Alligator mississippiensis: one gene and its partners. The main gene of each other region encodes a partner of the protein of the gene in region 3 in a complex. Links are inferred from orthologs where the notes say so. Each region holds a gene or a part of one and is shown on either strand. Other genes may lie near its edges.

Region 1 (6,970 bases), on a different chromosome or scaffold from region 3:
CTTATTAGAGATTTTTGCAAAAGAAATCACCTCCACCTTGAGTTCTGGTTCCTTTTCCCTCTAGACCAGGCCGGCTACAACCTGGAGACCTTTTCCCATCTTTAACTTGCCCTGAGCCTGATGAAGGGCGTGTGAGCCCAAAAGCTTGCAGAAAAAAGATCATTTTCTTTGCATTTTCTCACTTCGTGTAATAAAAGGTATCATCTCCGAACCAAGAGTTCTAGATTTTTGCATTTTTCCCCAATCTAGCTTCTTTTTTTTTTTTAAAGAAAGGTCAGCAATGCCACCAGCAACAGAAAGAACAGCTCAATGAAGTCTTTGCTATAGCCTTTGGGGGATTTGTTTTTTATGTCAACTACACTGATTTCTCAGCAGTGATTCATCCACGTAACTGGAGAAACTGGTCTTGCACTTAAGGCACTGAACTGGAACTCAAAAGACTCCCAGCTCTGCAACCAACCAACCTACTGTGTAAATTCAAGGAAGTCACTTCCTCTCTACAACTCAGGTTTCCCATCTGTTTAAAAAAAATACACCTTTCTCCCATCCTCTCTGGTCCTTTTAACCTTTGTACTCAGGGAACCCAACTACATATTGTTCTGCACAGCTGCTAGTCCAAACCACACCTCTCCTCCCAGGGCAGGTTGCAAGTGTTTACTGTTAATAACTTCAGATTAAGAAATAAAACTGGGTGAATTTACACTGTTGCCTCCTTTTGACCTGGTTTATTTTTTTTCTAGGTAGACACAAGACACACAGCACTGGCAGACAGGAGGAGACAGTTGTGTTAGCTTTTAAAACCAAAACCACCAGGCCTAATTCATCACTGTTTATTCCACTCTCCCACCCGTCTAACACCCTTGATTTCAGTGTTACATCAGCCCAGAAGCAGAGCGAGGGAGTGGTACGTCAGGTCCAAAGAGCACAGGCTGTATGAGAAAAGAAACCATCCAAGAAGGTTATTGTTTAACCTGCATGCCAGATTAGATGGAAAGATCAAAAAGGAGCTGGATAGCTTCAATAACCAAAACCAAAACATTTGGAGCTCCAGATCACACAATCAGTCCAAAACCTGGATGATTATCGTGAGCATATTGTAACAGGCCTGCAAAACCATGTGGGACACCACAGTGCCTCCCAAAAGAAAGCATTTCATCCAAACAACTTCTGCAACATGCACGTTCCCACCCCCAGAAAAAAAATGAGATAACATTTAAAAATAAAGGAACTTACAGTCCTACATGAACCACAAACCTCTGTGACTAAACTTGAGACCATTTCTCCTTCTCATGTCCTTCCTGGACACGCTCAGTTTAGACTGAGTTTTCTGGGACAAGGCCCAATGAGACCCAAACACAGGAGCCTGGCGGATGCCCAGTTGAGGGGCTGTTATCAGCTGTGGTGTGGTCACCAGGAACAAAAAATACACCATATGATATCAAGTAAATAGGAGGAATGGTTAATATCGTGACCCTTTGGGTCACATGGTTGGACTGCATTTAAAACAGATAAAAGTAAACATGCCAAAATGCATGTTCATCTAATGCAGTCAATTAATTGCAAGGAAAAATGTTCAGGCCCCTCGTGGTGTGGGAAATTCAAGTCTTTCGGTTCACATTTTCTCTCTTGCTACATTTTCCCCTCTTGCAATGTAACGTCACACACAATATTCACCAAGAAGGTATTTCAGCTGGTCAGCAAGCTGGCTACCGTCCTCATTCAGCAAGATTGGTTTCTTCCTCAAACTTATTTTTGGGGTTGATTTCAAAGTCATTTATAGGAGAGGTAGTTTTAGCATCCCACTTGCAATCTCTGGTCTCCCCACGGGGTTCAAACGTGCCAATTATCCACCTCGCTGTCACCCTCCATCCCTGAACTTCAGCATTTCTCGCCTTGTGTGGACAGAAGGCGAAGTTCTGTCTCAGTAAAAAGCAAAAGTAATCGATGCTGGAACGGCAGCGTTACGATTCTCCTGGTTTCCAGCTCCCTCCTCTGCAGGAAAATCATTCCTACTCCTACAAAGAACCGGCACCAAGCGAAGAGAGGATTATAACAAAGTCCTCTCAGGGGACCCAGGCTAAGATGAGCCCAAAGCCTCTTTCCGAGCCCAGCCATGAAAGGTAAGAATGAGTGGCCTCAGCTCCCAAAGTCACCACGGATCTGCTTTACCTTGCGGGCTGAGATCTAATACATCACAAAGCTCCCAAAGCATAAAAAAGACATTCAGAGTAAAGGCACACGCAAAGGATGGGACAGAGGCGAATGCTAATATGCAACCTTTTGAGTCCCAGGGAAAAGGACAAGACTTTCTTCCTCTTGTGCTCTGACTTGCTGAAAACCAGACGCACGCCTCTCCCCACAACACCCGCTCTTCTCTCACTGTTCAGCCATGGCTAAAACACACCCATTCCGCCTTATTACACCTGTAGGACCTACCTCTTCGGTCTGGCACTTGGGGAAGCCCGCTTGCCTCAGCTGAGACAAGGCAGCGGCTCTCAGCAGCACTGGGGTACCAGCCCCAGGTGGCAGGGTGGGATGAAGGATGCAAAAACCACCATTTGCACAGTCAGCGGATGGGGCCAGCTGGCACTGCCACGGGCACGGGCTGGGCTGCTACGCTTTTCAGCTCCTGGTGCGACCCCAGAGCTTTTTTTTTGGCTCGCTGCTTTTGCTTTTTTCGTTGACCGCGGAGCCGCGCGAGAGCAATTCTGCAGCTAAGGAACGTGCGAGCCGGGGCAGAGGTGCGGGTCGCGGCCGCAGGGGCGGGGGAGCGCCCGGCGCCGCGCAGGCGGATGCTGCGGGAGCATCGGGGCTGCGCGGGGAGAGCCGGAGGAGGCGGCTCCCAAACTTCAGCTCCTCCCGAGCCCCGGGGCTGCATGCGGGGAAGGGGACCGGCACTCACCTCCTGCTGCTGCCGCCGCTGCAAGGTGCTGCCCGGCCGCGGCTGCTTGCAGGCTCCGGCTCCGGCTCCGGCTCCAGCCCCTGGGCGAGCCGTGCCCGCCTCCCGCTCCGCCTCCGGGCCGCGGGGTGCGAGCTCCTCCCCGCAGCCCCGGGCGAAGGAGCCGGGCTGCGACCTCCCCGGCGCCCTGCCGCTCCTCCGCACACGGGCTGGGGCTTCCCCGGGACAGGAGGGACAGGGCAAGGGGCTGAGTGACCCCAAGGGATGCTCACTGCTTCTCCCACCAGGCACCGCAGCATGCCAAGGACCACCAGCCCACTCCAACGTGGGCAGCTCTTTGCCGCCTGGGCATGAGCCGCTTGTTGCCCCCCAGCTTCCCCTTTAGCCTGGACTCGGGCTTGGAGGACAGGGACGAGCGAGGGGGTTTGGGGCAGAGTTTGCTTGGCTCAGGGGTGGTGATGTTTGTTTGGCTGAAAATGCCTATAAGATGTCGGCGTGCCAGGGCAGGGAGCCGATGTTGTAGCAGGGCAGCCCCCAGACCCTTCCCTGCCGTCTGCCCTGAGATGAGCGTGCCAAGCAAAATGCCTTGCAGCCTGGCACCCGTGCTGGGGGCTGCCTACCCCTGCTGGAGGCTGCAAGGGAAGGGGTGGAAGAGCTGGGGTGAGGTGTTGGCGCTGGACAGAGCTTGCACCAAACAGATGGGGAGCACGGACAGCTCAGCTCGCTGCATGGGCAAAGCATAGGCAGGAGCCTGCGGCAGCCCAGCTGTGAGCTCGGAGGAGAGCAAGCTTGCCTGGCAGTGGAGATACCGTGCTGATAGTCCTGGCCCATATGTACCTGGCAGGGGAGATCCCCTTCTTCCTGGCCTTGAGCAACTTGGCGCTGTTGAGAGTGGAGACCCACCCATTGCACTGGGGTAGGCTCCCCTGCAAGAGTCTGCTAAGCCCTCCCAATGGGAAGATCTCAGCGACATAATTTATGGTGAAGGGGATTGCTCTTGGGCTTTCCCTCTAGCTTGCTCCTTTGGCCTTTTAGCTAGGGGCGAGCACATCAAGGGGCATCTGAATGCCAAGGCTTGGGGCTTGTACGTAGGACACCTACCATGGATTTGGGAGCATCTGAAGCCCCAGGGGCTGAAAAGTCTGGGAGGAAGGAGACTTGCCTGTGGTAGCACTGCACAGACTTGAACAATTGAGCTCTGCTCAACTGATTTGGCTGCTTTGGCCCGAGACACAAGATTAAAAAAGAAAAGGAGAACAATAAGGATACTCGATGGTATGAAGAAGCCAGGCCTGGTGCATTCAGAAAAGAGACGTTGGAGCGGGGACGTGAGGAGGGTTTACCAAATTCCAAACAGCAAAGAGGAAGTAAATAAGGATGCGTTCACTGTTGACTCTCTTGCAATACTAGAACCAGGGGTCACCACATAAGGTGAGTAGTTAATTTAAAACTAGCACAAGGAAGTTCTTTTTCACCCAGTGTCACGAAGGTGGGCAACTCATTGCTGCCGGATGCAGGGGAAGCCGACAGTTTGGCCAGGTTCAAAAAGGGATTGGACACGTTCTCGGAGGAAAGGGGCATCGGCAGCTATTGAGCATGGGAGTTAGGGGCACAGCCTCTGACCCCGAACTTCCTAGACCAGCGGTGCTCAATGTTTTTTGTTCAGTAGGCTAGATGGGAGCCTCCGTGGGCCAGATCTGGTGGTGTTGCAGTGGGGCCCTATCTCTCCATGTGAAGGGGCAGCTGGCTCCCCAGAGGAGCAAAGGGGGCTTGAGCTGGCCGCTCAGGGGCAGCAGGAGAGAGCGCATGGCCTGGACTTGATCCAGCCTAGGAAGGGGGAAGAGGGTGTGTTCCAGCCCCAATTTGCCACACAGGGCTTAGGGTCTGGGAATCTGGCAGAGGGGAGGAGCAGCCATATTAATTGTCACCACTCCCTTGCCGCCAGATCCCCCAACCTGTGGGGAGCCCTGTGGGCTGGATACCAGGCTCCATGGGTCAAACTTGGCCTGCCGGCCAGAGGTGGAACACCCCTGTCCTAGATCTGAAATGCTGGAGGCTGCAAGTGAGAGAGGACCAGTGTTCAGCCCCGGTTTGCTCTCCCTTTCAGCATCCGCTGTCTGCCCCTGTGTGACACAGGACACGGGGCAACTAGATGGCAGTTCTTATGTAGTGGTGCAGGCACGATTCACAAGATAAACCCAGAGATTTCAAATGGGGATCTCTAGTGTGAAAACCTTTCTGGCCTGCTGCATGCCCTCTGAGTTCTTTGCAAGGCAAGGGTTGCGCTAATATTTTTCTGTAGCTGAAAAACAAGTGACAGCTAAGAGCTGACATTTTCCAAGGGGTGCTTCGAGCCTATGGAGGGGGCCTCATGTCTGAACTGGGCTAGAGGGAGTCTGAGGGCAAAAAATTAGCACTTTCCAGAATTGATTGTTCTTTCCCACCTTGTTTGAACCCAGTGACCATCTGCCCTTAGACAGGGAGGCAGAGATTCAAGGGTGGTTCTGGTCTGAGAAGTAGCAGTGTGACTGGCACCTTATTCCAGGGCCCTGTTCCCATGGGCAAATCCTGTCAATAAAGGGGTGCAAATGGTCAGGTGCATCATCACATATAAAAGAGTGCATATTTTTCTCATGGTTTTGCCACCTAGCTGATCAGGAACAAGTAGCAAAGCTGCTGGGGTCCCTCTGCCAGTAAGTATGGGGAGGGGAGGAGTGTACGGCTGCCCCGTACGCTATCATGATGGGAGAGGCCACAGCGGCTGCTAATGGAGCAGCACTGGTGATAAATACCACAGGACTGAGAGGTTTGATGGAGAAACTCAGTGTAGATATGTCCTAGCTGATTTGTCTGAAGCCAAATGCAAAAGGAAGAATTGCATACACTAGGAATAACTTCTTCCTACACTTCCTCTAAAGCAGAAGTACTTTGGGGGAAAATGTATGAGAGTCCTAGTACTTGAAAAATATTTCTGGAACTAAGGTAGGGCTAAATTTGTCATTAAAATGATGCATCAGACAACATCTGTGACATGTCCTGATTTTTAAAAAACTTTTCTGACCTTTCTCTTGTGCATTTTCACAATTCTCTTCTCCCAATGGCTGTCCTTGCTTCTTTCACCTCCTGACTCCTGCAGGGATAACAGACAAATCTGGCAACCCAATTTCCCACAAATACACACATGTCTATTCTTGAATTGGGAACTATGCAAGGAGCAATGGTGCTATGACATTTTTATCAAGAGGAAGTGGCAACAGCATTTTACATCTTGGTATTTAGGCAGGCATTGGTAAGGACTGGGCATGGTATTATATACCCTGACCTTAAATGTCGAAAGAGCTGGGAAAACTGGAAGCACCTCATGCCCCCAGGAAAAGGGAATGAGCCACCTCAGCAGAATGGCTTCCTGCAAATGCTTTGCCTAAATGCTGAATTTAGGACACTAAATTCAGTGTCCTAACTCAGCAAGGTTTCATATAAGATCCCTGTTGCTTTGGCAGGAATGTGAGTGACCTCAACGCCAAAGACAGATTTCTTTTCTCCTTCCCCGTTTTCTTGTGAAGTGCCTGAGACAGATAACTCGGTTCTAATGAGACAGTTTACCAAGCAAGTCAATTCAACATGAACTGCTCCAAATTGATGTAGAGAGCATCTGTGCTGCATGGTGGCGACAATTTAGCGAAGGCAAGATCTATACTTAGTTCTTGTACCACTTGAACACTGCCTTAGTACAGAAGCAGTCATTCCGGTAAAAGATGCTTGTGCCTGTATAGCTTCGGAGAATAGCTGCATCCAAACTAGGAGGCTGTCCTACTTAATTATATCAGTTTCTAACAACTGTGGGAAGAGCAACCCTCACTCAACCTAGAAACGGATTTATTTCAACCTGTGCAATTCTTGCCAGTGCTAGTAGATCATGGCTAAGGAAATAAAAGGGGCACAAAGTCATTTCCCCCCTTTTCTTAGTTGCCTCTGAGAGACCACGTCAAAGTACTTCCAAATTTATAGACTATTATTCTATTCTATTCTTGCTATTATTAAGAGATTATAACAGATATAGCAATCATTTGA
Region 2 (7,485 bases), on a different chromosome or scaffold from region 3:
GGTCCCCTTCATCAAGGGGGGGCTTATACCTCTACTTGGTGGGCTCTGGCCCCTGTTGCAGAATGTCACATCAAAAGGCCCAATGTTTTCAAGTCAAATTTACCCCTACCTTAAACAGGTACAGTTCCATTAAAATCTAGAATAAGAGTTCAGAGCAGACCTGTAAAGGGAGAGTTCTTCCTTCTGAATTACTTTTCCCCTAACCCCGAGTATAGTTCCTTAAAAAAAAACAAAACAAAAAAAACAAAAAAAACCTAAAGAAAAACTGCTTTAACAAATAGTATAAAAGATATTCTGTGTAAGATTTGCTCTGGACTCAAATTTGAAAACAAAACCAATCAATCAATCTCAAGACAAAGGCTGTATCTTTGTCCCCTTAAAATTCTTAATCACATGAACACTATAAGCATGCTTAGCCATGCCGTTAAAACGTACTGTACAAGTAACACTGTAGCACTAGGACGGCTCTTTTTTTTTTGTCATGTTATGGGGCATTCGGGGGGGGGGGGGGAGGAGAGGGAGGCAGGTTGGGAATCAAGCGTAAATCTACTCTATTCTTATCAGATGTGATTAACTGTTTGAAAGGTTAACCTTTCAACAGCACCATGGCCACATCCTGTTAAAGTTTAAGAAAGTGAAATGCAAACTTTCCTGAGAGGGCCAAACATGCTAATCTCAAGATTTAAATATACACAGTACTTATTTTACTATCATGAATAGCTTCAAATAAAATATTTAGACCTGCAACCAGTAGTAAAAAATTATTCAATTTGCTTGAGTGCTCATAGTATTGGGATGCAAGTGAAGTCCATGAAAACTAAGTATATAAACCACTTGACCACGTGATTATCAAATAAAATACTAAATGGTGGCTGTCTCTCAGGAAGGGTGGATTCATTCCCATTTCTTACATACAATGGAACAATGAAAGGCTGCAAACTTACTGATTTGCTTTTGGGGTAGGTCTAAATCATTGGTTATATTTACATTAACTCTTACTAAAAAGAAGTATTTGGCCATGTTGCTCAAGGTCACTCAATAACCTCATCAAAAACACCCAAAACTGTTCATACATAAACTAGCGGCTTTTAAATTGTATGGACTTAAAAATTATATAAATTATGCTAACGTTTATCATCTGGAATTTCTGAACTACAAGAAGGGGAGAAAGCCTCATCAATTGAGTCACTTACGGCACAGAAGAATATACTAGTTAGTGAATGATCATGCACTACCAAAATAGCCCAATTAAAATTTTCCACTTCTATGTAATTGTGTGTCAAGACTGCTCCTGAAAAATCTTCTGTTCTTTTTGTAGGAATTGTGCTTAGGTGCTACATTTCTTTTTTGAAAAAGAATTAGCTGGAGATTATTTTTTTCTGGACAACAGAAACCAGTATAGCTGGAAAGTTAAACATGACTGAAGATCAACAAAACAGTTATATACAAAAAAATATATTTTTACATAAAATACCTTACCTTCTGTATACGAACAAGGTACCTTCTATGTCAGTCTTCTCCTACAACAGACAGCAATGATTTATTTCAACTATATGTCTGCTTACAGAGTTACGCAGCTTGCTGACTAAAATCATGATAAACTGATTCCACCTTCTCAAAAGGGACAGAGTATAATTCTCTTGCATTTCACATATCTGCCTAAAACTATTAGGCAACATGTGGTTATATACATCATTTGGCCTGCATGAACAATATTATTCCCTTGTTAGTAATAAGTAGTATCCTGCAATTCCCTCGTGTGCAAACCAAACGGGCAAAGGAAAAATTCAGAGTTTTCCTTGGAAATCCCATTTTAGGGCAGACAAGGATACATTTAACTCCACAAACAACCAGAAGAATACACACTGTCTTGTAAGAAGACCTAAATGACAATTCGCACATAACTGCTGTCAAGTCAGCATACCGTTTGTTCTCTCCTAGTCATTCACAGATATCTCGTTCTACTCATTCATCACGACTTTGCTTTAAACCAGGGATAGGAAACCCCCAATGCGTGCCAGAGTGTAGCACGTGAAGGCATTTTGCTTGGCACGCGTGCTTGTGGGCAAAGGGGCCAGGTGTGCACAGCCACAACAAGGACTGGGCCCCGGGCGGCGCCCACACTCTCCCTCCCTGGCACACCAACATCTCACCAACCGAGGTTACAGGTGTTTGGGGCACTTTGCCCAAAAACGCTGCTGACCCCTGCTTTAAACACTAAAAGTTAATTAAAAGAAAACCTCACTGTGGCCCCCCCCCCCCCCGCAAAAGAAGGGCTTTCACAAGAGCCTGTTCCTAACTGAGCACTCGTGTGTATGAAGCTACACTTGCTTCAGCGGAGGTGGGCAGGGGCGGGTGGGGGTCTGGAAAGGAAGAGGCACAAGCCCGCCAGCTCCAGCCTCTAACTGTGAACCTCTGTAACTTCAGCAGAAACTCTGAGCGCCAGCTCACATCGCTCATTTCTGCTCGGGAAACGCAGAGGGCACCGAGAGTTTCTCCTCTCCACCTTCCTGGGGGGAGCGCCTGCCCCCGCGGAGACACGCGTCTCCAACGCCTTCCCCCGGCCACCAGCCCCGCGGCTGTCAGCAGCGGCCGCTGCACGGGCAGGCGGCGCCGGCACTCGAGGAAAAGGCTGTTTCCCTCGAGACGAAGGTCCCCGCCTCGTGGGCCCGGGGGAGCCGCCGGAGCCCCAGGCTGCTGGCGCAGGGCCCCGCGCAGGACGGGCACGACGCGGCCCCGGGCCCGCACGTACCCACTCGTTGGCCTTGGGGCTGAAGCTGTAGAGCGCGACCTGGCCCGTGACGTCGGCGATGCTGGTGATGTAGGGGTCGTGCTGCTTTAAGGCCGCCAGGCTCATCTCCTGCCCCGCTCGGCTCAGCGCCTCCATCTTGGATCGCGGGAGGAGCCGCGGGCGGCGGCGAGACCTGAGCGCGGAGCCACCGCGCAGCCGTCCGCCGCGCGCGCGCCCCGCGCCTTCCGTTCCGCCCAGCTTCGTTCCGCCCGGCCCCTCGGGCTGCTTCACGGCCAGCCCGGGGCCTGTCCCGCGGGAATTAGAGCCCGGCCCGGGGGGTGAACATGTCCACACCGGGACTCAGTCGTGTTGAACGCGGTGCTTCTTCGTGAGCAGGATCTGGTGGGCAGCGAGGAGGAGCCCGGAGATGCGAGGGCAAAGGGCTCCTGCCACCTCCTTGGCCAAGGGCCGAGCTCGTTCCTAAGGGACGAGGAAGGGGAGCCCTGCGCCACTACGGATTTAAACAACCCGTGTAGCATCTCCCCAGGTTGTCGCAGCACCGCACCAGGTATTCGCCAGGTGGTATTCAGTTGTCCCCTCGCCGCTTTCATTTTCTCCTCTCATAAAATCGGAGTTCAGTAAATCTCTCTTTTTTCTGCCTTTTTTAAAAGAAGCTCGCAAACTAGTAAGTGCTTGCAAAGCGAGGGATTTTGAGACGTGGTCTGGGGTCTGTTCGACAGTACAGGAGTCTGCTCCTGTGCAGTAAAATCCCAATTCGTTCATGTTTTGCTTTCTGAAGGTAAAAGTTGATTCATGTTTTCCGTTAGCAATAGCCTAACTCCGGTTCGTTTCTTTACTTTCCCCCAGGATCCTCGTATGCGTTGGCATCTTATCCTTATTACTGTTATGAGCTGAGATGCTGCCCATGAGCGACAAGCTACCTCTGTCCCACTTACACCACCTGGGTATTGAACACAATCTACCTTTCTGGTCACATAACTGATTATTGCTGCTAAAGTCATTGCCGAGTGGACTTCCCTATTACACAGCTTGTATTACATTAGATCAAATATAGTTGTTTAATAGGACTTGGTCTATCTGGGTGGGTATTGAACATTTTGGACACTTTTTTTTTTTTACAATATTGAATATTAGAAAAAATATACTAACAGATGGAGCTTTCTCTCAGATTCCAGCTCCACCAAAAATCTCTCGTAGTACCAGCAGCACTACAGACTCTGTTGGGTTTCCCTGCAGTGACACTTTTGTCTGTCCAGCAGGATCTGTTGTGGCTCCAGCAAGGAGGGGTTTTCCTCTTCAAGGTTAATTGCTTTCCAACTGGTGCACAGCCAATATGGAGATGTGAGGGTGAAGGAGGCAGCAGGTAGGTGCCCCAGGGCCATGTCAACAGCAAAGTGAATGGACAGAATGAGGGCACAGCAGGTGAAGTCCTCTTTATTCTGCCCTCAGACTCTTCCCTGGAGCTTGTTCTACTGAAGAGATGTGCAGGTCATCCTGTCAGTCTTTCCTTCTCATGCTACCATGGATAAAATCATCCGTCTCACTGAACCGTGTTGAAATAAAAGCTGTTGTAACTATTTGTACTAAAATACGCTATTGTTTTAATTAATATTTGCCATATGTAGACAGTGCCTCTAGCAGACACAAAACTGGAGCCTCACCTGATTTACCTTCAGTAAAATTGTGCCAGATGAATACCACTGGTTCATAGGAAAATGTTTACCAGTAGTTGGTCTCCACTCATTGGTGACACGTAGGGGGTACACGTGTGTCCCCTGAGATTGGCGGTGCGTCCCCTGAGATTGGCGGTACACCCCCTGACAGAATTAGTGTACTGTGCATTAGCATCACTAAAAAGGTGTGCACTGGCACTACAGCGCAGTAGCACCAGTTACTGTGTATTCAGTTAGTACCTGTTATTACAGGTACTACACTTAATGTGCCTTACCTATGGCACATTAATGCACATGTAGATGTGCCCAATCTTCTCTTCTCTAAACAAAATAAGCCCAGTTCCCTCAGTCTCTTCTCATAAGTCATGTACCCCAGCCCCCTCACCCTTCTTGTTGCCCTCCACTAGACTCTCTCCAATTTGTCTGTACTCTTTCTGTAATGGGGGGCCCAAAACCGGACACAGTAAACTCCAGATGTGGCCTCACCAGTGTTGGATAGAGGGGAAGAATCACTTCCCTTGGTTTGCTGGCAACACCTACCAATGCAGCCCAGTATGGCATTAGCCTTCTTGGCAACAAGGGCACACTGTTGGCTGTAACTCCCAGGTCCTTTTCTGTAGTGTTTGCCTACCTGAACAAGAAACTTCTCTCTCCAGATGCTCCAGGAGTCTTATATTTCTCAAAAAGGGTAAGTGAAAGTCAGTGGCTTGTTGAAGGGACAGGCAGCATGACAAGAACAGGCTCATCCATCCAAGAACCACAGTATTCTTTCTTCATCCTTTTTATTAGCTGGCACAGTGTAGGTCTAAGTGCAGTAACTTCAATAGGAGCTTCCCATGTCCATCCAGTGGTACCTATGATGAGATAAAATGTTGAATGAGAAATGCAAGTATGAAAAAGCAAAAATATTTGAAAAATTACAGTAGAACGTGAATTATCCACACACTGTTTATCTAACTGCATGCTGTGCTGCCAACCTCTGGTGCATGGTACAAGTGAGAATAATGGCATTGAATAGAAAGAGAACTGTTTTAATGACAGGAAAAACTGAAATAATCCACAAACTGGAAAAGGCAATTCTGATGCCAGGCTTGCTTCAGAGAATGGCACTGGTGTGTGTTCATTTAGTGTGTTTCATTAGCCAAACAACTGGATTTTATGAACAATGTTTGGGTCCAATTAGTTTGGATAATTGACTCTCCTTTGTATTTTAAAAGGAAGTTAATAAGTCTTTTATTTGAGACTGAAAGAAAGAGAAACACCATTCCAAAATCCTTTTAGATTTTGCATCTAAACAGTGTTTCTAATAGCTGCACTAAACAGGCTCTTGTTTTTCACAACAGGCTCAAATAAACCTCTAAAACAAATGTATCTTTTAGATAAATGTAATGAACTGATCTTGAAAAGGGGCAGGTTTCTGCTGTGTCAGATCTTGTCAAATGTGAAAGTTCCTTTGCTGCATTTTGAATTGAAAGCAAAATGTGAAGAGATAACAAAACCAAGTGCCAGTTTCTGTTAATGACTTCTTTTCCTCCTCCATCCTCTAATTCCAGTTCCACTGTCAGAGAGTTTGTTTTCCTTGTTCACTGCTGCTGATTCATTATTTCAGAAATAAATGGTATGGCCTCCCATATGCCTCCTGACCCCTGAAGTATACAGCATGCGGGTAGCCTCAAACTTTGACATTTGCGTGAATGAAATGTTAGTTTTCTTGTGCTAGGCTTGCTCAGTGACTGATGTGTATTGCAAATGCCTTTTGTTTTCTCTTGCATTTTGAAGCAGTTAGTGTAGGGAAAATGTTCGCTTCTCGTATACTTCTGGTTCGTGCAGTAAGACACTCCTGTTGAAGTGGTACAGTGTTTACAATGACCTTTTGATATTTTCAGTTTAAGTTAGACAGACTTCATTTGTGCTTCAACAAATTAAGTGAGTTACATTCTGCATTTCAGTTATTCAGTAGTGGTTTTATAGTACAGAAGAACACTGAGTGCTACATTGTATGTACTCTACATACATTAACATTAAAACAGGCCAAGTGGTAGTGATTCATCTCTTCCATCAATGGCTTGCTGTTGTCAGGGGAGGCTTTCTCCATTGTTTGCCTACTTACCTATCTGGAGCTCATTCTATGTAGTTTTACTTCTACCTGCCCCCACCCTTGTCACTACCTTTTCCAGAACAGATTATTTAAATAGCTTCCAAAGTTTTTTGCTTGTCTGGCAACTCCACTTCAGAGTTCAGGTAGGAAGAACATTCTTCAGTTTGTAGTCGTTTTGGGCACCTATACATGTGATGAAGCTCTGCTCCGATGCATGTTAATTAGCACATATTGGAGCAGACTCCATTAATTGAGTCTGTTGCGAGTCTGCTGGAGCGTGCTAATTAGCACGCTCCAGCAGCCTCCGCGTCAGGTGTAGTCAGCGTCCCTGTATTTCAAAGTTATGGCAGGGGCACTTTAAATCTCGTTGAACAAGCTTTAGTTAAATTGTCTTTGCTGCCATTTTGAAGCGTGAGCATTGAATACACAGATGCTGAAGGCACTTTAATTAGAGCGGATCTCAGAGACGCTCTAATTAAAGCACCTTTCCCCCCACCCCAGAGCACTTGTATAGATGCCCTTTAATATTTCCCCTGGCTGACTGAGTAGCAGCAGCAAAGAATTCAGTGTTTTTGTTAAGATGTTAGAGAAACTAACTGAGCACACCCAGTAAAATCTCATGTCATGCTTAAAAGCCTCACTGCTCTATGTAGGATATGAAAAGTAAATGGGGCTAGATCAGGGGTGGGCAATTATTTTGGGCAGAGGGCCGCTTACTGAGTTTCGGCAAGCCATCGAGGGCCGCATGACAAGCAGCCCAGGGCAGATTAATATTAATTTTCTAAATTTTTTAGGGGCCCCACGGACTGGATAGAATGGCCTGGTGGGCTGCATCTGGCCTCTGGGTCACATTTTGCCTGCCCCTGGACTAGATAGTGGCAAGTAAAATGGAACCAGCAATCGCAGAGACAAATTTGAATGACAGGTAGTGAATGTTCTCCACTTTTCTATCTGAAATAATG
Region 3 (7,550 bases):
AAAAGTGCAGACATCCCCAGCCCCGAGTCCTCCACGCCCAGGCACCTCCAAAGTTTTTTGGTGCTCACTTACCAACTGCGAGCCAAATCCCAGCCAGTGCCATTCTGGGCAGTTTAAGTGTCATATGTTCACACCCTTGAAATTAAACTTTCTGCTGGGGTCCTTCAAACATAGCTTTAGAATTTCTTTATGCTACTTTTCAGCCCTTAAACTTAAGCTTGCCTTTTTCAAATGGGCTGGTCCTACACTTACAAGGATTAGCCTTGAACACCAGAACCAACTTTGAGCCCCTTGCAACAAGCTGAGAGGTAACGGACTTGCCTCGGCCACACCAGTGATTTTGAAATGACTAAAAACCAATACGCATCTGTTGTTTTCTACTCACTTCAGGAGAGGGATCTAGCCCAATCCGTTTATCACAAGAACTGCCTCCCACTTTCCTCTTAGATTTCAGAAGCTGCCTTGTGACTAAAGCTGAAATTCTGACACCGCCGTGTGTGCATTGGCCAACGCAGACGTGGTGAGAAATTACAGTCGAAAATGCATGGACTCGGTTGTGATCTATTGCTTTGAATCTGAACTAAAGTCAAAGCCAATAAAGTCATCGCATGCTTCTGCTGCAGCACTTATACCAGTGGGCTACAGAAACCAAGTTGTTTCTCAAATTAATTAGGTACAGTTGGTTAAAACACTTCCAGGAGCAGCTGATTTAAGGTCAGCTTGTCGCACCTTAGAAGCTCATAAGTCCTCTGAGAGGCTTGTCCTACTGAGTGCTCAACAGGTGTTGGCTTCTGGTTCTAGAGCTGCTGCTGTTAAAAACTATAATACCTAAAAGCACAAGGGTGCATACCCTTTGGGAGCAAAAAGCACAGTAAGCAATTAAATGAGGCTTCTTCTGTTAAAGGAAGATCACGCAGTGAAAAGGGAGTCTCCTGCTGTGCCTACCCCAGTTGGGGTGCCTTTGAAGTGCTGGACAGCTGTTCTCCAGCCTCTTCCTGTTGTGCTCATTCAGAGCTGGAGGCTGGCTTGGCTTGCTCTTCCTCCACCCAACCTGATTTCCTTCTATGATAAGGTGACGTTTTGTGGGTGGGAGAGCCCTCGACTTTATTTAGCAAGACTTTTTAATGACACTTTTGTTAATTAAAGAAATATGGACTAGTTGAAAGTACTGTAAGATGGATACATAACTGGTTGGATTATGATATTCAGTGAGCAGTCATCAACAGCTCTGGCGGGGAGGAGGTTATCAAGAGGGGTTCATCTGGTATTAACACCCTTAACAATTTGGATAATGGGATTGGATACACCTTTCCCAAATTTGCAAGCAACCCCAAGTTAGGTGGAGTTGCAAATCGTTTGGAGCACAGAGCTAGGATTCAGAAGGACCTGGATACATTGGAGGAACGAATCAATCAAATGAAATTGAGCAAAAAGTGCCAAATCCTGCACTTGTGCATGCAATTATTTCACACCAAGTACAGACGGGAATGGCTAGCTGGACTGTAGCACTGTAGAGAAGGACCTGGGGGTTACAGTGGACACTAAGATGAATGTGAGCAATTTGTGTGCCCTTGTTGCAAAAAAACCCAACAGCATTCTGGGTTATATTAACAGGAGAGTCACTTGCAAATCAAGGGAAGTGATCCTTCTGCTGCACTCAGTGCTGAGGAGGCCTTACCTGGGGTACTGTGCCCAATTTTGAGACCCATGCAAGATGTGAGCAGACTGGAAAGAGTCCAGCAGACTGTGCCAAAAATGATTAGGGGCTTGGGAAACATGAGGGAAGGCTGAAAAAATGAGGGTTATTTAGTCTGGAGAATTTAATAGCAATCTTCAGGTACCTGAAGAGCGATTTTACAGAGGGTAGAGACAGACTGTTCTCTGGCTGTAGGGGACAGGACCAGGAGCAATGGCCTTAAGCTGCAGCAGAGGACATTCAGGTTGGAGATTAGGAAGAACCTGGTGACCCTGCATTGAAACAGGCCAGCCAGAGAGGCCGTGACATCTTCATCCCTGAACATTTTCAAAAGCAGGTTAGACAAACGCTTGACTGGGATGGTTTCGCCAAGGATGACCCTGTCCTGAGCAGGGGGCTGGACTAGATGACCCGTCTAGCCTTACTTTCCTATGATCATAACAGGCCTGTTGCAGATGGGGGACGTGTTGGGGGAAACCTCGGCCCTTCCTGAAAAATGTAAAAGCGGGCGCAGCTTTGTCACTGCAGGATGGGAACCTTGAGTTTCTTAGTGGTGCTTCCTAGTCCTGGCTTTGGGCAGCACCTAAATAGCAGGGGGAAGTTGAGAACACTTTAGCTAATGACAGAGAAGGGAAATAGCCCAGTGCATCTGCTTGATGTCATCTGTATGTAAATGCCTGTTTAAACCCTTGAGCTGTAAGCATCCCCGTCTGACGATCAGCTTCTGCGTTCTCGCGGCCAACCCAGGAGGTACAGTACAACTTCCACGCATAAAACTGCTCATGTAACTGCCTCCACATTTTTGTGTAGGGTCCTCCGTTATTTTTCAGCCATGTCTGAATAGTTCCCCAGAGGTGATGATGTGAAAATACCCGTCTCCAGCTATAGGCCTACAGCTCCTAATCTGTAACCTAAAGCTATTTTTACAGAGGCCTGCTTCCTGAAGAGCAGGGTTACATACAACGTGGAGGGTCGAGTTACTGATTGGAAGGAGCCGAGTTCCCGGGCCCAACTATCTTGTGCAACTTTGCTGGCTCCTAGCCCCACTGCCCCAGATGTCTTATCAATCATCCGGAAGTCTGAGCTTGCTGCTGCAAGTAATTTAGGGTTTCAGCTCTGCCAAGATGGGTCAGTTTTGAACAGATTAGAAGAAAGGCCAGCTGCCTGCTTCTAAATTAGTGTCTTGGGTGATAACAGCTGCAGTTACACTGTTGGGCTCTTTGTACAGGCTAGGACAGAAATGACACACAAACCAGTATACGTGATTGGAAACCAATTCAGATGTGCAACAAACAGAAATTCAGTGCGTGTAAACCACTTTCAAAACGGCCAAAACCGGTTTAAGATGAACCCGGATGGGTGTAGCATCCGACTGAACTGATTTTGGTTAAACCGGTTCATTTAAATTCTGTCCCAGAACCAAATTAATTTACAGTCCCCCAGCATCCCAGGATGCTTTGCATCTCCCCCTCAACCCCCCACCTTGCAGGGTAGGCAGACTAGCCTTGGCCTGGCATCTGCTCCAGCCAAGCAGGAAGGCGTGCTCTAGCACCCCCCAGCTTCTGGCCTGGGCCAGTGCAGGCATGTGGGTGCAGTTCAGGAATCAAAAGTGCATGTCTGTTCACTTACTTATCAGTCCAGTCTATGCAGCTTAGACTAACCTGCAGCGGCTGCATCGATTCAGCCTCGGGCTTTCTAACTGTCTGCACTTGGCTTATAAGTGAGTGATTACACCGTACATCGTCATCCAGAACTGAGTGCAGTATCTCACACCCGTATGTCTTTATGGTTCATATAGCGGTGTCCTGAAGAGCTAGGTGAAACCTCTTGAACACCTGTCATGAGGCAGTTTTGTCTTATTAACTGTTGTACAATTTTTCCACAAAACATTTTTTTCCCCTTTATTCATGGTCAAATTTGAAAAAAATGATACAGGATCTGGAAAGGAAAAATCTTACAATGCGACTAAACTGATATCTATATAGCGAGAGATTATTTTGAAAATGAAAGTTTTAGTATTAAACTATATTAGAAATCTTTTTGTTACATTTTCAAAGTTGAAAAAGTAAAACAGTTTCAAGGATTTTTCCTTTTTCTGGTTTTTCTCCCTCTCAAGTGCCAGCAATAGCTCTGGTTGGTCGCAGACCTAAGCACGTGTCTAATTCTGTTCTGCTGCATTGGTATCAACTTGTGAGACTAGTCCCAGGGGTCGTTACATGCATCAGAGCTGCTCGCTTGCACGCTTTAGTAGGGTTGTGCTTCTCGAGCAGGGTGCTGCAGCACCTGGCGTGCCATGCGATCCTTTGGAGGGTGCCAGGGGATGCTGGACAATATTAGCACAGTTCGACACATCAAACATCCCTGCGTGATATACAAGATAAGCTCAGAGACTTCAAATAAGAATCCAGAGGGTCAAAAACCTGTCCTGTCACGGTCTTTCTGAGTTCTTTGCAGTGGCAGAATTGCCGTATTATTTTTCAATTAGTTAAAAAACAAGTGAAATTAGTTTCTGACATGGGGTGTTGCTAAATTCAGAGAAGGATATTGGAGAAATTAAGAACCACTGACTTAGATAATACATTGATGGGTGTGGTTGAAATACGTAAATAGAGCAAGATCGAACCTTTAGGCCTTGCCATGCTGCAAATGTGTAACGCAGAGATCTACTTTCGGTATATTTAAGCAAACTCACCAAGTACAAGAAACTATAAGACGCAGCATGTTTCTTTAACTGGGGTTAATCTGGTATGGAAGCCATGAAGTCAGTGGGTTTCCATGCAAAATAAAAAAAAAGTGTCAAGCCTTAGCTCTGCAAGCCCCAGAAGAGGCAGGAAGAGGCAATCACGGATGTGGGTTAGATTAGACCTCACTGCTGCACAAAAGATCGGCACTGGAGGCAGAATTGTCAGCAATGAACCCAGAAGAGCAAGCGGTGACATGGCTTATTTCCTTAGGAGTTTTGAATTCCCCCAAAAAGATCATCAGTGATCCAGAGGGATTCCTGAAAACTTCCCTGAAAGACGGGGTCGTGCTGTGCAAGTTGAGTAATCGGCTTCTTCCGGGATCTGTGGAAAAGGTAACCGACCTCGCTCATATAACCCCTTGCTCACTTCCTACTACAGCAGCGGCGCAGCGCAGCTGCAGGACCCGTCTTGGTGGACCCGGAGTGGTCTACTTTAGCAGGAGGTGCCGTGCATTTTGGCTTTTACTTTTCTGGGGTTGAAGGCCTGTTTCAGAGGGACTCGGGTATTTTATCTTGTGACCCAATGATCGTCTTTGATTGGCTGATAAGTTATTCTGTTGGGCAAAATCAGGCAACAATATTGTGCGTGTGACTTGCAGTTACGCTCGAGTCGGTTGCCTTATGTGGGCTCTTCCATTTTTAAAGTGGAAACGTTTAATCTACCAGAAGTCCATTTTAGCTTGATCGATCTTCCTAAAAAACTCCATTTATTACATCTGACGGTGCTAATATTGTCCAGCATCCCTTGGCACCCTCCAAAGGATCTTATGGCAGTCCGGGGTGCTGCAGCACCCTGCTCGAGAAGCACAATGTAAATAATGCAGACGATGAATACTTGAGCTTTAAATACAACTAGGTAAATACAGCTGTGCAACTACGTAAAGAAGCACAGTGGTGTTGTTTTCCTGTACCCCACCAGGTAAAAAACCAGACTCGAACAGAAATAAAAGCACTTGTCATCCCCGCCATTTTCAGCCAATTCAGTACATTGAGTTAATCCGTCTCAAATGTCTTGTTAATCAGTACATCCATTTCCTGGGTACATAAACAGGCAGTCTAAATCGGCAACAAATAATTGCAAGGGGGAAAAGAGGAAGGATCCCGATCAGAGCTAAAGAAATGGCCACGCAGAAAAAAGGCTGTTTAGTAAAAGGCTCAAAAACAATATGTTCCTTCCTCCTTACAAAACGGGAACTTTTTATTTCGAAAGCGGCCCTTGTGTTGGCTGATGTGCCCCTCTGATGGCATGCGTGGTGCTTTGGGGCAGCGTGCTCTGAAAGGTCATGAGCTTCTCGCTGTCACTTAGGGCACTGTCATATGTTGACATTCAAAAACAAGATGCCGACCATTTAGATTTATGCATCACTTCCTCCAGTGGCTCTTTCTTCCTGGTTCGACAGCTTGCCTGCCACCCCCATCCTCCCCCTAAATAAGCTTCCCTAATTCGGCGTAGATCACACACATGTCAAACATCCAGCATGCAGACCGCGCTGAAGGTACTACAGTAACCGTGGGGGGTTTTGCTTCTTTAGTATTGTCTGGAGCCCAAAAATGAAGAGGATTGCATCGGAAACATTCAGGAGTTCTTGAAAAGCTGTGCAGTCCTGCAAGTAGAGGTAAGTCATTCTATTAGTCTCCATTATATTTTTTTTTTCCCCACTCTACTAATTGTGTGATTTGTAATTATTCCTAAATGAGGCCAGGTGCCAGGAAACTGAAGTTACTGTCAATCTCTTACGTTAGCAACGTGCATAAAAGCCTGGATCATTTAATATTCTGGACAGGGACTCTGCACAAGGTTTTAGCGATGGGATATATAATGCCTCGGAGTTGAACATACTGCCCTTCAAGCCTCTGACACGAAGCAAAACGCTGAAGTAGGAACGTATAATAATATAACGACAGTCTTCCTAATGCATGCTAGTAAGCTGGTTGGACCGACCGGTGAATCATTTTTTTCAGTGTTGGGAGAGAGGTCACCCCGTTTTCAGCCCCGTGTTAACTAGTTGCATCGGATGATAACAGTCGGAGTGTTGTAGGTTGATACCGTGTCTTCCCTTGCAAAGGATCGTTTCACAAAGGGTGAGCCCAGTAGGGCAACTTTCTACATTTGCGTCTCTCACACATACTCTTACACAGAGCCCGAGTCCTGCCAAAGGACATAAGGAAGGGAGGAGGGACAGAAGAAAGAGGTCTTTGTATACCCCCAAGCCTTCCTGTCACCGAGCGAGGCCAGTCCCTGTGCCCAAACGCAGGCACACTGTGTGTTAGCGTGTGCTCTTACACAACAAGCTGCCGCAGGGTATGAAAATGAGTCAGGAGCTGTTCTGCGTGTGCTCGCTCCTGCTGCGCGGCCTCCCTCAAGTTAGTGTAAAATGCCATTAATGAAGAAAAGCCCTGTTGTGTTTCACATCGGCAACGTCCCACGGAAAGCAGCCGTCGTTTTTCAAAATCGTCACTGACTTCCTAATGGTTTGGTGGGGGGAAAAAATGCAATGCTCAATTCCTGTGCAGGCAATAACCGTCCACAGTTGTTACCGGGAACGAATCGTGGACTCCAGGGGGAAAGGAGAAGACCCAGCCGGTGCTGCTGCTTTTCACCTGAAGCTTTACATTGTGTAAGGAGAGTTGTTTGCTTGTCAAAGCCCTTACTCAGCTGACGAGCAGGCAGCTCTGTTATTTCCAAAACTGTCTCCTCAACCTGTTGTTTCCCAGCAATCTGGTGCCGGAAACCTGCTGCCGGCTGCAACAGCTTAGTTTTCAGAGCAAATATATTTGCTCGTTGAAGCCAAAAGAAACCTGATCGGGGCATGGAGGCAGCGTTTGCCAGTTCTGATTTTTTTTTTTATCCTGATTCTTGGTGACGGTCGATATTTTCTTTGAAATCCCCAGCTGCTGGAGTCGTGTGATGACCGGGGTGTTTCAGCTCTCATTTAAAAAAAATACAAATCAGAGTTTTAGCATGTGGGAGAAAAAAGCTCGAATAACATATGAATGCTGCAGGCTCAAAAGCATCCATCAAGCAAGGGGAAAGAACCCAGAAGGTGTTGTTTGGCTGAAAAATCATGAGGTTTTTGAAAGCAACTCGTGATCTTGAGAGGGTTTGGTAAC
Region 4 (7,916 bases), on a different chromosome or scaffold from region 3:
AGCTGCTGGCAAATCCCTCTTGCTGCATTGCATGGGACTGCAGCCAAATCCCTGGATGATGTGGTTAGTAAAGCACCAGCATCCTGCACAGCACGCCCATGGCTGGCTGAGCAGATCCTAGCTCAATCTTGCAGGATCTCTCTACAGTATTTATGAGTCTCTAATAGCCTCATATCACCTGAAGATACCTTCCCTTGGGGGTGATACCTGTGAGCCTGAGATACTCTATGTCACTGCTCAAGGCTAGGTTTGGTGCCACCGTGAAGTGCTTCACTCTATAATGTTCAAGCGCTGCTCGTCCACGCTTTACGAAACGTCATGGCCACCCGCGAGTCCTTCCAAGAGATCTTCGGGAACGTGGGTAGACCAGAGAACAGGGACCAAGTGCAACTTCATCAAGCGGCCTTCAGCTTATCAATGGGACCTCAAAGGCAACCAGTTCACCATGTCTGAAAACAAAACCCCCAGTACTAGAGTCGTGCCACTTCACACTGGTTAATGCTGCCTGAGCCCACATAGCTTCCAAATTCAGGCCAGATGAGCATACAAACCTCAGCACCTCATCCTTACTTGTGTGCGCTCCTTAGCCATGCTACAGCTCCCACCTTCATGAGGCTGCTTGTTCATTAACCTTCCAGTTAGGCCAGACATCTCAAGAAAGGTCCGTCTCATGGTTGTCCAGTACTGCCACTACTAGCCTCTCTAGGCTGCACACTGGGATACTGGGCCGAACCTGCTGCATTTTAATTTTAGTCACTTCTCACCTCCAGGCCTCTGTTTCTGCATCTCTTAAAATGGATGAGTCAAGAAGGATTTCTTACCCACTTTGCAAAGCACTCCAAGATCTACAGATGTGAAGAGCTACAAAAGTGCAATGGATTATTAAGATCGCACCGGTTAAAGCCACGAACCCCAGTAGCACCCCGCATAAAACCAGAAACATGGAGGAGGAAAAGTTATCTGTTATTTCCTGATCAGCAGCCAAAGGTTTTAGTCAGTTCAGCTCTGGTTTCTAATCAGCACTAGGGCAGATTTCAAACCAATCTGCCTGCATCTCCCTAGTATCTCCCAATCTGCCTAGCATCTCCCTAAATATTTCAGCCCGCATTTGAGGCAAATGGTGATGGTTAGTCCTTGGTGGGCTATTTATGGCAGCGAATGCTTCTCGCCTTTCCCAGTAACTGAAATGGCGGTGAAACGTTTTGGTTGTGAACGATTTACAAATAAAGCGGGGAAAAGGAACTGGTACGTGCTAACGAGTCTACAAACAAGCACCGCTCCCTGCCAGACAAAACAGGAATCGACCGTGGAAAGGAACACGCCATCTACTTAGAGGAAAAACTGAGCTAGTTTCCTTATAGTTTCCCGAATAATGATTCAAAACACTGAACGAGTTCTTCCAGGAGAAGAACCAGATGGGAGGAGACAGCAACCAAGCAAAAACTTTGGGGCCAAATTCTGCACTCGCCTTCACCGCTGTGAATCTGACTCGACTCCAGTGAGATCAGCGTAAAACCATTTTTAACACCAGCAGAATTGGGCCTTGGAGTTTGGGGTCAGTTATAAACTTCTTTTCACACAGCAACAACAAAAATCCCTTTTAAGGAACGGCTTTGAGTAATGCCCACCGAGAAGCCCGAGACCTTTTAAATATGCCTGACCTGGCACAGAAGAAGTCATGCACAGCCCTCCTCCTCTGCCTCCTGGAAAGGCATTTCAACAACAACATGACTCAGAGACAGAACAGGTCACTTCTTTTAGTGCTTTAACTTTAGGCACAAGCCGCAGTAAAGATTTATTCCACATGGGAAGAGAAAGCCAGAGCAGTTTATTTTTTTAAAAGCGTGGCTGGGTCATTAGCCGCCTGCAGTAGGATGAATGGACCGCTCGACTGCGTACATCCCAAAGACACATCACTCTCTGGACCCAGCTCCCACTACTGAGGAAAAGCATATTCTTTTAGAGTGAGATTTGCTAAAGCGCCCAGGTGACTTTGGGATATAAATCCTGGGAGCTTTCACTGCGACTTAGGAGACTGAGTCCTCAGACTCCTTGGGAAATTGCACGTTCAGAGGCACGCTGCGTCAAGGCCCCTGGAGGTGCTCCGTGGGGAAAGAAGAACAAATTCTAATAAGGGCTTTGCATTCAGATTGCATAGCTTATTCACCAAGCTCAAAGTGATTTAAAAACATCAATTAGATCTCAAACATCCCAGGGAGCTAGGAAGGCACTGTTACCTTCGTTTTACAGGTAGAGGAGCTGAGGGACAGGGAGTGGAAAGGACTGGATGTCAATGTAGGGAATAAAACCTCCGAGTCCTGACTCCTAGACCCACGTCCTTATTGTTACCTCCACTCCTGGCCCACAACACTGCCCAGGCAACTCACCTGTCCCAAAGATCACTGTCAACTCTGCAGCGTGCAGGTACACCTATGAGCACTTGCACCGGTCATTACCTCTAGCAGCAGACCTGGCTGGTAAGCAACAGAAAGCATGTCTTAGCACTTTAATTAGATGGAAGTTTGATTGCAATTACCCCGGCTAAGTGGCCTGTTCCGGCTCCGGGATCTGCTACGCTGTCTCTGAAGTCGTGACCTCCGAAGCAGTCGGTAGTAGTAGGATGGTCTCCCAGAACTTTTCCTGCTGTTCACTGACATTTTTGTATTGATTTCACACATAGACACATGCACGCGCGTGCTCAATCTCCCACTCTGACGCAGCGGCAGCACTTCCAGCGTTTATTGGAGTGGAAAGAGGGGGGGAAATAGGAACTCTCCAATTTAGACATTTAAAATAAAATGAAAAGGAATAAAAAAAACCCTCCGCCAACAAAAACCTGGCATGGAGTGCACTGTCTGAGCAGGGAAAAAACTCGCAGCCAGCAAGATAAACTGTACTAACAACTCCTGCCCCCAAAAAGATAAGCCTGTTGGAATTGGAAAAGGAAGCCTGAGTTGGCCTGGCCTCTTGAAAAGTGAAGAAAAGGCTGGACAAAATCCTGGACTGGATTGCCTCCACGGGACGGCCACATCTGATCAAACTGCACTGGAAAAATCAGATGGTTTCCTGGAGGAGGGGGAGGGAAGGGAAAGGGGCTGCACTGCCCTGGGTGCTAGCATGCTTGCACGTGCCCCTGGCTAGCTGATCTTTGCAAAGATGAAGTTTAAGGCAGCTCTGTTTGCAACAAAAGGTGCCTAGGTCTTTATGAAAGAGGGGCTCGAGGAAGGGTGTAATGAGTTCCTTGCCATGGGACACATGTTAATCATCAAGAAGCAAAAGCCCCGGAAAATGAAGTGAAACTTGAGAGGGGAAAACTTTAATTAGAACTTGACTGAACGGAGCTCTAGACTCCCCTGGAGGCCCTTTTCCTTTCAACATTGAAACTGAATTATAGCACATCACACGAGATAAAGAAAGGAGCCTATTTACCACTCGGATTCTGACTGCACGGGGGAGTCCGCCTGTGGCTCCTAGGGCTCAATAGCATTACATTTGAATGGGCACTATTAATGTTTCAAACCATGGAGAGAGGAAGAAAAAAAACCCATGCCAACTAGCTGTACTCCCTGCATCTCCCATTTCAAAAGCGGAGCTTAGAAGCGACTTACCTAGTCCTTCGTCCAGGCTGTCACAGCATCCAGCAGAGACGAAGACGTGCCTTTGGTCACGGGCATGGACATACCCCGAGAGAAGAGGAATGGCGGTCAAGGAGCAAGTGCATTAGCTGTTCTCACCGAGGAGTCAGTGTTGGCATCCCAAGATCATGAAAAACCATGAGAACTCGACAGGGGATGAGCTGCCCAAGTGTGGCATTTGCACAGCGCCTGCCTGCACTGGCCCAGCCTCACCTGGTCTGGGTACCAAATTGATCTGCTAGAAGGTCGGGGACAGAAGAGGCTTGGAGACAGAGCCCTGCTATTTGCCCCATAAGCTTTCACCCCTGGGGTAACCTGAAAGCTTTCCCCGCTGCTGCCTGTGCTGTACCTTTCCTGGGAATAAGCAGAAACTGTGGGTTTCCAGGGCTCCCAATCCAACACCTCTGACTGGTGCTACATTCACTTCAAGAAAACAAAGAACGTCTTTAATGCCACTATTCTCCAACCATCTGGGTTGGCCTAATAAAAAATATCAAATTCACCCAAGGAACCGTGTCTGTCTTTAATGCCACCGTGCAGTCTCCCAGCCACCACTGCACTCCAGTCTCACATCTCAAGATGCCCAGGTCAAGCTGGTCAGGGGATACATTAAGATTTGATATAATTTAGAGCTTCTGATCAAAATACTGAGAAATGAAACGTTTAATTTCTCTGCTAAGAAAGCCCAGCCCATTACAAAAAGCGAGTCTCAGTCATTACAGAAGTCCAGGCCTGGTTTTGAGGCCTTGCATGAGGAATTCTGCACTAACTTTTCGACAGCGCAGGAATGAACCAATCAACATGGCAATGACAAGTTCAGGTCAAGTAGGCAAGATCACAGCTGGACAACAGAGGACTCTTATTGCATCTTACTGAGGGGGAGAGGTTACCGAGTGACTTTCCACTGCCTGCTTTCCACCCAGCTGCACCGTCACTGCCCGAATTCACACAGCAAACTGGGACAAAGAGGGATGAGCCGCAGTTGCTATATTTTAACCACCTAACATTACACAGGAGAGAATTTTTTCACCATTCAAATAGGTTAGAAGGGACCAAATAAATTAACTTTAAAACATTTTCCAGAAGAACTCAGACTCATCTTGACTCATATGTTATCCATTCACAAGAAGTGATATGCATACGATAGGAAAATCCCAAGCTATCTGGACTTCAGCTGGCAGATCTGACTGTTCAGATATTTCCCTCAGGCTTTGTGCCCTAGATGATGAGCTGGGAACCTCCTAAGAAGGATGGCCTTGCAGGATGAATGGGAGCTACTGGCTTGTGTCAAGCAAGAAATGCCTTGGGAGCAGTTGTTCCCAATAGCATCTCATCTCGTTCTCCCAGTGGCATTCCCCATAACCCCAACACACAAATGGACACAAAAGCATAAACAAATGATTTGAAAGGTTCGTCCAAATTCAGAGGTTTGAGAAACATGAAGTTACCAAGCCTGCTTTTGTTTAATCAGAACTACTTAACTCAGTGACCGTCCATCTGGGATGGAGTGAGAGAGACGGACATTTAGTGCTCTGTGAGCAGGTGGAAACGATCAGGAGGTGTGTGCTGATGGGTCTGCAGCCATCATGCATTTATTCAAGTGCACTTAAGCATCTGTTCTATATTTACCCTTTTTTTTTTTCCTTTTTTACCATCAGAGGTACCTTCAGAGATGGCCATGCAGATGACCATAAAACAGGACGAGTTAATGAAGGGCTATAGAGTACAATGACAAGAGAAGGGAGCCCTACAGTAAGAGCACAAATAAGTGGGAGTCCTGTTAGAGTTTTGCTAGACTGCCTCTGTCTTTCTTGCTCACTTTGATGATTGCTTGACGGCAGAAAGTTCAGATACTGCATAGGAGTAGGCAACAAGAAATGACCCACCTGGGAGGTAACTTGGCTGCTTTGGACCTTTCCAATTAAACAAGAGATGCTTCTTCCTCACGCCCATTTTGAAAGCCACCTCCCAACACCATTTCTTTTCTGTGCAGATGAATCTGGTGCTTGCAAAAACAGCTAGATTAACAACCCTAAAGAAAGATGCCTACATCCAAAATGGTCTCTATGCAAAACCAGTTAGGTAGTGGCCATACAAGACTTCCTACCACAGCCCTGCCAATGTGACCTACTCATTCCTCCAAAAAAGAGGAGCTGAGGCTTCATGGGCTCACTGCCAGATCTCACGATGGGCCGGCAGAAGTCCCCTGAATAGAGAGCTGACCCATGACACAGAGGTCACTTCAGAGCCACCGATAAGCAGTGTCATCTGCAACGAGGGTAGGGTCTACACTATTTAAATTTAGAGCAGATTGAAGCTGTCCTGCCTTGCAGGATATGGCATTTGTCACACGGGCCTGCTGCACTTTCTACACCACTGTAAGCTGGATTTATTCCATTCCTTTGCTAAGACCTTACAGGAGCTGCAGAAGTGTGGGGTCAGCAACAACAGTCCGCACTGGAGACAGAGGCATAAATGCTGGCTTGTTTGCTTTGACATCAAGAGCAGCGCGCACTTGCCTGAGGGTTGTCTCAGCTACAGAGATGCTGTTACGTCCATCTCTGGTGACAGAAGATGCTTCTCTCCAGTTTTACTCCTTTTTCTCAATCTTTTTTTTTTTTTTTTTTTTTTACTTATAGTTTGCTACCTGAAAAATAACCACTGGTCTTCAGCACGCCCATTCCCCAGCCTCTTCAGTCATCAGTCTTCCTCCTTTCTCAAAGGGCTGTAGAAGAAAACCATCACCTCTTGCAGCCGTCTCTGCTTCTGTGGAAGGGGACTCACAATCTTCATTCTCATTCTTTATTCACAGTGCACAGCCGCTGCCACCGTCATGACTGCAGGGACCCCAACAGGACAGGGTATGACAGTCTGTCACTTCACATCCCCAGTTCGTGTGACACCTCTACTTGCCTACAAGTCTAATGTCAGTGATAGTCCAGTTTCTTTTGGATTCAGGCCCCCGTTCACCAGGAACTGAACTGAGAACTGCCTACATCATTTTGCCTGGGATAGAAGAGAGCATCCATGAGGGGGCAAGGTCAGTCTTCCCATCTGTGCTGAACCAATGAAATTGAAAAGGAAAGTTTCCAAAAAAGCCCCCAAATACACACACACACACACACACACACACACACACACACACACACACGTATATAAAATGTAAATGTTTGCAAATGCAGTCCCCTCTGGGGTGAAACGCAGCGTGTTCCAGAGCTGCACAACACAACTGCACCGAGGTGCAGAAAAGGAAGTCAGAAATAAACTTTGACTTCAAATTTAGAGCTAAAATGCAATGCTTAATGTTTATAATAACTGGGCTGTACTACTGAGAGCCCAGGATAGATGCTTGCTGTCTGTATGCTGATAAAACTCAAATGTGAGTGGGGGAAAATAGTAATTATTTATGTTAGATGCATGGAAAATAGTAAAGAAAAGCAGTGGGGTAGGAAGGCAAAGGGGAGGGACTTGGGTCTGAGAACATAAACATGGAAGAGAAGTCTTGGAAATCTTACAAGAATAAAATGACTCTTCCTACATAGCTGCTCCCTACAGAGATGTATTATTATTAATTATTATGGTTGTTGCTGTTATTGTGGGGTCCCACAAGACCAACATCCCGTTGCGCTGGGTGCTGCACACACACACAGTAAAAGGTCTGGCCTGTAGAGTTTGCCATCTAATGAAGACGACAGGCACTTTGTGGGAGCTAAGAATCACCCCTGTTTCAGAAGTGAAGCACACAGTGACTTGCTCCAGGTCAGGATGGGAATCGGAGGCCGTGCTGGGAACAAAACCCAGACCCTGGGGGACACTGTCCAGAGCCTCAGCCAGCCTTCCTCTCTGGACAAGCAGGGGTGCTGTCAGATACGGGCTGACAGGTGTTCTTGCATACATCAGTGTGACTTAACAACGTACCACCCCACTGTCCAGATGGGTTTAAAACTAACATTTCCCACTGAAGTGCCTAAAGTCAGGCACTCAAGTGCCTCAGTTTCCGCCCAGAGCTTCTACTGACTTTGAACAGTCGAAGAATGTGGGAGTCACATGAAAAAGCAAGTCAGGAGGCTCCACAGGGCAGCTGGCATCCCCATTTCTTGTGCTGCCTCATCTAACCACTAACCAACCTGCCTCTCCATCAGCACGATAATTTTTTTGGACCATAGCTTACAGGTTTGTGTGTGCAACACGCTTCCTCCCCAGGGCAGGAGCTCAGTCCAGGCGGCAGACTGACTCCCAGGACGGAGACTGCAGTAGGTAAACACAAGGGCAGACAAATAC

Evidence for each region.
Region 1: ARHGEF6 (region 3) and PAK1 share a complex: the UniProt entries of both Homo sapiens proteins name them as parts of the cytoplasmic complex. The link is inferred for Alligator mississippiensis from reciprocal best matches to the Homo sapiens genes ARHGEF6 and PAK1.
Region 2: ARHGEF6 (region 3) and DCP1A share a complex: the UniProt entries of both Homo sapiens proteins name them as parts of the cytoplasmic complex. The link is inferred for Alligator mississippiensis from reciprocal best matches to the Homo sapiens genes ARHGEF6 and DCP1A.
Region 4: ARHGEF6 (region 3) and DAB2IP share a complex: the UniProt entries of both Homo sapiens proteins name them as parts of the cytoplasmic complex. The link is inferred for Alligator mississippiensis from reciprocal best matches to the Homo sapiens genes ARHGEF6 and DAB2IP.

Annotation. Positions count from the first base shown.
Region 1 is NC_081824.1:471,028,188-471,035,157, forward strand, and holds the start of PAK1 (serine/threonine-protein kinase PAK 1), read right to left. Parts: upstream 3,007-6,970; 5' UTR 2,903-3,006; intron 2,717-2,902; exon of another isoform or gene 2,437-2,716; intron 1-2,436. UniProt on the Homo sapiens protein: Protein kinase involved in intracellular signaling pathways downstream of integrins and receptor-type kinases that plays an important role in cytoskeleton dynamics, in cell adhesion, migration, proliferation, apoptosis, mitosis, and in vesicle-mediated transport processes.
Region 2 is NC_081835.1:25,101,184-25,108,668, reverse strand, and holds the start of DCP1A (mRNA-decapping enzyme 1A), read right to left. Parts: upstream 3,014-7,485; 5' UTR 2,888-3,013; coding exon 2,753-2,887; intron 1,521-2,752; coding exon 1,480-1,520; intron 1-1,479. UniProt on the Homo sapiens protein: Necessary for the degradation of mRNAs, both in normal mRNA turnover and in nonsense-mediated mRNA decay. Removes the 7-methyl guanine cap structure from mRNA molecules, yielding a 5'-phosphorylated mRNA fragment and 7m-GDP.
Region 3 is NC_081831.1:79,759,091-79,766,640, forward strand, and holds the start of ARHGEF6 (rho guanine nucleotide exchange factor 6), read left to right. Parts: upstream 1-4,542; 5' UTR 4,543-4,607; coding exon 4,608-4,772; intron 4,773-5,971; coding exon 5,972-6,055; intron 6,056-7,550. UniProt on the Homo sapiens protein: Acts as a RAC1 guanine nucleotide exchange factor (GEF).
Region 4 is NC_081835.1:64,551,254-64,559,169, reverse strand, and holds the start of DAB2IP (disabled homolog 2-interacting protein), read right to left. Parts: upstream 3,017-7,916; 5' UTR 2,679-3,016; coding exon 2,537-2,678; intron 1-2,536. UniProt on the Homo sapiens protein: Functions as a scaffold protein implicated in the regulation of a large spectrum of both general and specialized signaling pathways.